2 separate regions of the Mus musculus genome follow, and region 1 is reported to be linked to region 2. The links are microRNA targets in miRTarBase. Many come from high-throughput screens and were not tested one by one. Region 2 holds a microRNA gene; the other region holds the end of a gene's coding sequence.
The links. Region 2 holds the annotated microRNA mmu-miR-30e-5p (UGUAAACAUCCUUGACUGGAAG, at 1,686-1,707, opposite strand). A microRNA usually pairs through its seed, bases 2 to 8, with sites in the 3' UTR of a target mRNA and lowers its output. Matches are read on the target gene's strand: a 7mer-m8 pairs with bases 2 to 8, a 7mer-A1 pairs with bases 2 to 7 and ends in A, and an 8mer does both.

Region 1: the mRNA of Pitpna is a reported target of mmu-miR-30e-5p. Seed matches in the 3' UTR shown: 8mer at 1,266-1,273 and 7mer-A1 at 2,821-2,827.

Annotation. Positions count from the first base shown.
Region 1 is chr11:75,625,077-75,629,144 of GRCm38, forward strand. Pitpna (phosphatidylinositol transfer protein, alpha) reads left to right here. Exons shown (of 12, transcript NM_008850.2): 11 at 389-454; 12 at 1,041-3,728. The coding sequence ends at 433. It also overlaps a transcript of Inpp5k not described here. Among named protein-coding and RNA genes, the nearest start is that of Inpp5k, 3.9 kb to the right of the region's middle.
Region 2 is chr4:120,770,975-120,775,042 of GRCm38, forward strand. It overlaps Mir30e (microRNA 30e), which reads right to left and starts at 1,723; the gene lies at 1,632-1,723. Nfyc (nuclear transcription factor-Y gamma) reads right to left here. Exons shown (of 10, transcript NM_008692.4): 5 at 2,698-2,793. Mir30f (microRNA 30f) reads left to right here and starts at 1,632; the gene lies at 1,632-1,723.

The sequences.
Region 1 (4,068 bases), not on the chromosome of region 2:
TGACACACACCTTTAATCCGAGCACTTGGGAGGCAGAGGTGGGTGGATTTCTGGGTTTGAGGCCAGCCTGGTCTACAAAGTGAGTTCCAGGACAGCCAGGGCTACACAGAGAAACCCTGTCTCAAAAAAGAAAAAAAGAAAAGAAAAGAAAAGAAAATAGCTCTGGGCTTAGCATTGGTAAATTTTAGGTTGTAGAGGATGGTAGGACCTGAGATAGATTATAAATGGTATGGTCTGAGATATTATTTATTCAAACTTGTTATTTTTGCTTGGTGCATACACACAAATATTCTGCCCTGTTGGCAGGATCAAGAAGACAGGGTGCATTCATGGTAAAGTTCCATCAGCAACAAAAGCTTTCAATTTCCTTCTGCTTTTTCTGTTGCAGATGAGACAAAAGGACCCAGTGAAAGGAATGACAGCAGACGACTAGCGCCACCGCCCTTTCTGCACTGTAAGTACCGAGCTGTTGTCAGTGGGCTTGGGTCCTCAAGGCCAGCAGCTCCCTGTGAAATGAGAAAACCTACTTCATTCCTCATCTGGCACTCTAGGACTGATGGTCACTGCCGTGCTAACGAGGGGACTCCTGGGTTTCCATAGAAACAAATTATGGACATTGTTTATTTCAGGGGCTGGAAGACTTTTTACCCAGGTCATAGGGCTAACTTGGGGTGTCCCTTGTTATGCTGAGAGGAAGTTATCTGCTCAAAGAGCACCTTCTAGCACCAAGAGGCTAAGAAAACCTAGGACCTTTATTCTCTGGCTTTCCCATGGTTCTTTTTCACCCAGGCCTGTGTGCGTGCTAGCTAGGCAAGCACTATATCCCCAGCCCAACCCATGTTCTTAAGCAGCTTCTGGGGATGGAAGAGGAGGATTAAGCAGATGCCAGTTTTGTAGTCAGTGCCAGAACCTTAGTACTCTCTCTCCAAGGCCCCCACCAACTGGCACGCCTCCTCCTGGGATCTCTCCACTTGTCATGATTTACTGTGTGCTTCTGGTTGCCCTTGTTGCTTCCTTAATAATTTCTATTTCTTTTCTAGTTTTGCAAGACAGTGGTCAACAGGAAGGCCCAGCAGCTCCACCCTCCTGAGTGGCAGGCCATCTTCGGACGCAGCCTTTCTGTGCTCATTCTTCAGGCAACTTTCAATCCCTTACTATAGCTATTTCTAGATGCCCTTTAACATTGTGAACAAATAGACCGTCTGGTATTATAAAGCCTGTGTGTGCGGGAGCCTGATCCTCTAAGATACATGGTGTAGCTGCTGTGTTTACAGCTCATCCTCTCTCCACTGTGCTCTGACCCATTTCTGTATGCCCTCCCCTTTTATTTCCAAGTGATGGTCTCAGTCTTCCCAATGAGCTGCCTTTTGTGATGTGATTATTTAAGCTCATTTATTTCAGCCTTGGGATAAACTGAGCTATTTTGCTTCCTGGGCAGATCTTTGGCAATGCTGAATATTCACTTGGGGAGAGAGGAGGAGTTAAAAATACAGAGACACCTACCCCCAGCTCCTCACAATAGGAATGTGGCTTCAGACCCCTGACCTCTGCTCCTAGTAACCTCTTGTTTGCGTGCTCTAAGCACCAAGAAGGCACCCAAGGCCCAGCCAGTCTCAGAAAATTTAGCAAATAATAAATAACCCCTACTCGAGTCATTGCATCTCTGGTTAATATTCTTAGAAATCTTGGCTTCTCAGCCCTCCTGTTGCCCACTCTGTCTGGATCTCTCTGTAGAGCCTACAAGACCCCACCACTGCCCAGCTGGAGAACTGTCCAGTATGGCCTGTTGACACCATTCAGACCCCACAGGAGCGCTGTATGTCCGTGCTCCTTTTCCCTTTTGGGCTGGTGCTGCCACTCAGCAATAATCCTCTCTGTGCTTTCTTAGACCCCTGTCCTCTGTGAGGCTGGCTAGGATGCAAGAGTCCTGGTCTTTTCATGCTGCACAAACAAGCATGCAAAAAGCTTTTTATCCCTAGCAAAACATGTACCTTCCTGTTTCTAATCACTGGACAAGAATTTGCAGATAAAGAACTCAGCTCATCCTGCCCCACACTGAGTTCTGTCCTGGACAATCAAAAGCAAGCCGTGACTGTAGCCTGGAACAGTTAGCACAGCAGGCTGGGGAAGCCCAGGCTCCAAGGGAGTGGAAGCTGCAAAGCACTGGCTTTTCTAGATGGGCAGAAACTGAGGATGCCTTTCTGGTGGGAGAGTGGGATAGAATTGTGTCACCTGACATTTCCCAAGCCTTCTTCAGTCAGTCAGCCCAGTGTGTAGTGATCCAAGCCCATGATTGCCAGGGTACCTGTTAGAGACCAAATCTCTACTAGGGGAGTGAGAAGTAGGATGGATCGTTCTCCTTGTTTTTGTCTGTGTTGGCCTTACTCATTTCTAAGTGCAATAAGGCAGTGTCTCAGGGACTGCACCTGTGACATCCTGACTGGATGCTTCCCTGTGGTCCTCCTGGAATAAGGGTAGACAGATTTGGGCCCCTCAGCATGGTTAGCTCTGACCTTCCTTGAGGTTCTTTTAAGACCAGGAGATGTCTGGTTACTGACACCTTTCAAGGTATTAGTCTCCTCACCTTGTAGAGTCTTTAGGCATGCACTTGGGGCATCTTGGTGATTAGCATATCAGCTGCTAGTAGCATGGGAAAGTTGGAGAAGAGGCATTCCTAATGGAAATGGAAAAAACATAAATGTTCTCATATAAGCTCTGTATTACCTATCAAATCCTATTTGTGCTTAAAGATCTTCCTTCAGTAACTAGGTTAAAGTTCAGATGTGTTATCTTGAGAGAAGTTGATAGTCTACGCAGATAGTTTACATGATATGAGGGTCAAAAGATATTTGTCTCCTTCAGCACTTCATAAGATCTATACATATCAGTCACATTGGCCTCAATCCTGGCCTGCTCTTACCTGCCTTGCGCCCCTGCTGTTGCCCACATTTGAAAGCATCCAAATGATCCGAACTAGAATTTCCTGAGACCAGCCTGGATTTAGGGCTCCTGCCCACATAAACACAAAGGAGGAATGTCCCTGTCTTGTTCCATCCCCATGGGTGGTGTTGCTGCTGGACAAGTGTTGGCTTTTAAGTATCCCCTTTTTTTACCCACCCCCAAAATTAACTAGCACTCAAGAGGGCTGGTGATGAAAGGCTCACCTCTGGTGAGAATCCCTGAGAGTGCGACATGCTTCTTCAGACTGGCTGCTTCCATTACATTTCCAGGGTCTGCTTTACTCCCAGCGGGAGCAGCAGTGTCTCTGCACAAGGCCTGCTGGGCTCCAGCCTTCTTGTGGAGAGACACTGGGGAGGGACAGGTCAGGGTCACTGCTGTGGGCATGTGTGTATCCTTCCACATTCTTCCTTTCAGTCCCCCCTGGACCTCTGACGTCCTTGGGTTGGTTCTTAGTGCTACTTCTTTTACAGACTACACTTTATAGAACTGATTAGATTTCCTGTTTATTTAATGTGAGTTTGTGCCTTTTTGTCTCAATCTTCCAATACAGGTATATTGGGGGGAAAAAAGCAGTCTAATAAAATCCTAGACAGAGTTTTTTGGAGTCTAGCTTATTGGTGATGTTCCTATGTCCATTTTTCAACTTAGATGTCCTTAAAGCTCCTACTGATATCTCCCCAGTTTATTTACAGGAGAGGATTATGAGAAGATACAGTGGTATTTCTGACATTTTATGTAAATAAAGTATTCCTTGTCCAAAAAAGTCACTTACAGTATGGATTCGGGCTGGGGTATGGTATAGCTCAGTGGTAGTATTTACCTAACAGGCATTAAAAAAAAGGTCAATTAAAATAGTCCCATGTCAGCCGGGCGTGGTGGCTCACGCCTTTACTCCCAGCACTCGGGAGGCAGAGGCAGGCAGATTTCTGAGTTCGAGGCCAGCTTGGTCTACAAAGTGAGTTCCAGGACAGCCAGGGCTATACAGAGAAACCCTGTCTCAAAAAAACAAAAGACAAAAAAAAAATTAGTCCCATGTCAATTCAGTTTTCTTATGCAGCAGTGCACATCTGTAAGCCATTTTTGCTTTTGTCTCTCTTTTACTCTACT
Region 2 (4,068 bases):
CTGTTGTCAGGACAAGCATGGCTATTTTCAAATTGCTGTGATGGAAGGAGGCACAAGTAAGGTTCTTCTGCTTTATGAAGCACTCATTCTGCAAATGGAGATCAAGCCAGCAGGAAATGATGATGCTTGATTTAAAGAAATGGGTGAAAAGATAATGACATTTCAATGAGCAAGGAACTTTCAACTCATAGCTTAGTCGGGGAGAAGTCAACCCTCAACTACCATCTACTTGCAGACAATCTACTTACTTCCATGGCAAAAAAGAGAGAGGGAGACTCCAAATCATCTCTGAGAAGCCTCATAATCCAGTGTCTCCCTTTCCAGATGGATCAGCACCAAGCCCTAGGAAAACACCTGACCGAATAGGTCAGTACAGAAAGGTACCTGCTCCATGCTAACACTCAGTACAGAAGGGTACCTGCTCCACACTAACAGTGGCTTCTCCAGTGCTGAGACTGAAAAACAGTGACAGTGAACAAACAGTATCACAGCACAGGGTCATCACTACACTGATGAGCAGCCAGCTCCAGACTAGGGGAAAAAATACATTTGCTTTAGTGGCAGGGTGAACTGCTGCCTCCTTCAGAGGGTGTGTTTTGGAGAGTAGGCACTTTTAAAGGACTTTAGGAGGTGCCAGCCAATTTGGAGCTTGGGAAAACTTCATGTCTACAGAGAATTAAAAAATGCTATCTTAGAATTTCAGGCCAGCTTTCAGCAATCTCAACCTTTTAAATGCCAGGCAGCAGCTGTCCTGAATAGGATGCCAATCAATAGCTCAAACACCTACAAAGAACTAAAACCAGGCAGCTAAAGGAGTGTTCTTGCTGTATACCTTTTAAAGGGAGATGGACTAAGTATAGTGGTCCATGCCTTGAATCCCAGCACTCAGGAGGCAGAAGCAGATAGATCTCTCCGAGTTCCAGAACAACCTGGTCTACACAGTCTAGTCTAGCCAGGGATACACAGGGAGAGCCTATCTCAAAAATCCAAACCAAACCAAAGAACAAAAGAGGGAGATGGGGTAGACCACCAGCAAATCTAACACCCTGACAGACCCAGAAGAACAAACAACTTTGGAGGAAGGTATAGGTCAGCAGCTCTCAACCTGTGGGTTGTGACCCCTTTGTGGGATGGAAAGATCCTTTCACATGGATCACCTAAGACTACTGAAAAACAGATAGTTGCATTAAAATTCATAACAGTAGCAAATTACAGTTATGAAATAGCAATGAAAAAAATTTTATTGTTGGGAGGTTATTACAACATGAGGAACTGTATTAAATGGTGCAGCATTAGGAAGGCTGAGAACCACTGGTATAGGATAATAACTTTCTCTTTAGTCATCTATTCAGCAGGCAGCCCATAGTGAACAATCAGTACAATAAGAGCAATGCCTGACTGCATCACAGATCTTACCACCTTGTCTTTAAAGGAAACTCCTGGTGGATACATGGGAGCAAAAATCCAATAAGGAAAACAGGCTCATGGTATTATCAGCTCCAAACGAAGAGAGACAGTCTGAGTTCTTGTGACTTCTCAGAGAGAAAGGAAGTAACCCAAGAAAAGGAGACAAGTTCATGGGCACAAACCTGCAATGTCTCAAAGCCGATGAGCGCAGCCGGGGACGACTGTGGCAGCCTGCCGCTGTAAACATCCGACTGAAAGCTCCTCTCAACACCTTACAGCTTCCAGTCAAGGATGTTTACAGTAGCAAAGACTGCCCAGAAAAATAAAGAGCTTCAGTGAGGCACAACCTGCTCCCATAAGGAGGTGACCCAGGGCTTGCTAACCCAAAAACCCTCATGCAGGGTCAGAATTAATGTCAATTAGGATGCCCACTTCTCCAACAGGTTTTCTGACTGGTTATTTGTACAGGTCAACATGGGGAGAATGGTTGTCATTAAATGACTCTAAACAGTATACTACAAAATAATTAGTTAAAAACACTTATATTTTATGAACAAAAATAAAACAAGCAGGACATGGTATGGCTTTACTTCTCTGAGGCATATTACACTAAACCTAGTGAATCATGCAAACTGCGTGCCTGAAACAATGAGCTCTATAGGACTGGGGTCTATCACAATCACAACTAAGTTATATGCACCCAAGTGCTGAACAAAACAAATGGTGTGATCTTTGGAGATGAACAGGCAGAAGAAGGGCAGACACTTAGTTCTTGTAATTAAAAAGAAAAATGTAAATGGTGGTTCTAAAACTTCACTGGACACCAAAGCATCTAGGGAACTTTAATTATTGATTCCTGGGGTCATGGGGTCATAGGTTCTGACTCAGTGGATGATGGGTAGAGTCATCACACTACAGAGACACAGCATAGAGTAAGAAAATAAAAGCCACTGGCTCCAATCTGATCACTATGCACAAAGAGGTTGTTTCTTAGAATCTGAAAACTGACTGGCTGAAAAAGCTTTTATTTTAGATGAAGAAATCCTGAACTGAGCTTCACCCCACTATCTGTGACTAGTCTTTTTAACTTTGTTCTCTCACTGCAACCCCACCCCAGAGGCACTGAGTTAAAAGTACCCATAAATGAGTAGAAGGAGATGCTGAGGATGATCTGGACTACGGAAGAGAACCACAAACAAGAAATGCTTTGGGTGGGAGGGAGGGAGGAGCTCCGGAGAGCATCTTGCCCAGGCCCTGGAGGTGGCAGCTGAGCAAATCCTCCCAGCTCACCTGGCGCTTTGGAGGTTTCAGTTCATCTCTTGGAACAATATCGATGAGAAAGTCGAACTGATCAAATTTTGTAATTGCCATGGCAATATCATTCCTCTGTAACAAAGAAAAACAAAGTTAAAAACTGGCCTAGGAAGAATCTAGTTCTTTTGGCTGTTATCCTTCAAGTAAAAGGACATGATCCTCTCCTATCCCCTAGTCCCAGTGTCTGGGATTAAACCTAGAGCTTTACACAAGCTAGACAGGTATTCTACCATTGAGCTATGCCCCAGCCCAAGGAGATGACTTTTAGACTGTACTAAAAATCTCTAGGTTTGTCTAGAGCTAAAAATAAGAACAGCTCAATTTATATCAGACTTGCTGGACAGAAATCAACGAAAGAGATACACATATCTCGTGCTCTAGGCCAGGACATCTGAGCCCTACTCACCACTATTTCTGCTTGTTCTGGTTTCAAAGCTTCCATAAAGTTGTAAAACCACCATCCTCTGGCTAATTCAGGACAAAGCCAGCAGTCTCAACTGGCATTCTGTGGTCCACAAGGTCAGCCCATCATTCACTTGTATGATCTTTTTAAAGGCCCTAAGCACTGTTTGTTGTTGTTGTTGTTGTTTTTCTTTTTACAGGCACTTATAATCCAGTCGCTTGATTTTTATGTTACCTATGGGTTTTAGTTTAGAAATCAAAACTGCACTGCTTAATGAATAGTTTAATCCGAATTTGAGCCTGAATACTCAAGCCTGAATTTACTATAGGTAGGTAGTGAACACAGAGCTGAAAAGAATGTCACAAGTGGACTTTCTCTTCAAGTCTGATATTATTCCCCTTCCTTTGAATAATAAAAATCAACACTTTTTCTCCCATATGATTTGTGTACTTTATTGAAAGTTTTAAGGTTAAAAAAACAAAAACAAAACCACTAAGCTCAAGTGAGTGATATAGTTAAGTATATATGGGAAAGTAATTTTTGAAATGTATTTAAAAATAGATCACTTTATGGCTGAAGTGAGAGGTATGATAAATTTGTTTTTCTTACTTTATTTATTTATTCATTCATTCATTCATTCATTCATTCATTTCCCCCCTTCCCTTCTTCCTCTTGCTCCTGGGCCCCACTTGCTCCCGGGACCCACTCACTCCAGTCCATAGGTTTTTTTGTTGTTTTTGTTTTTTGTTTTTTAAAAGTATTATTATCTGTTTCTCATTATGGATGGTTGTGAGCCACCATGTGGTTGTTGGGATTTGAACTCAACATCCAGAAGAGCAGTCAGTGCTCTTAACTGCTGAGCCATCTCACCAGCCCAATTTGTTTGTTTTTCAAGACATGGTTTCTCTGTATAGCCCTGGTTAGTTATCCTGTGGCCTGCTAAA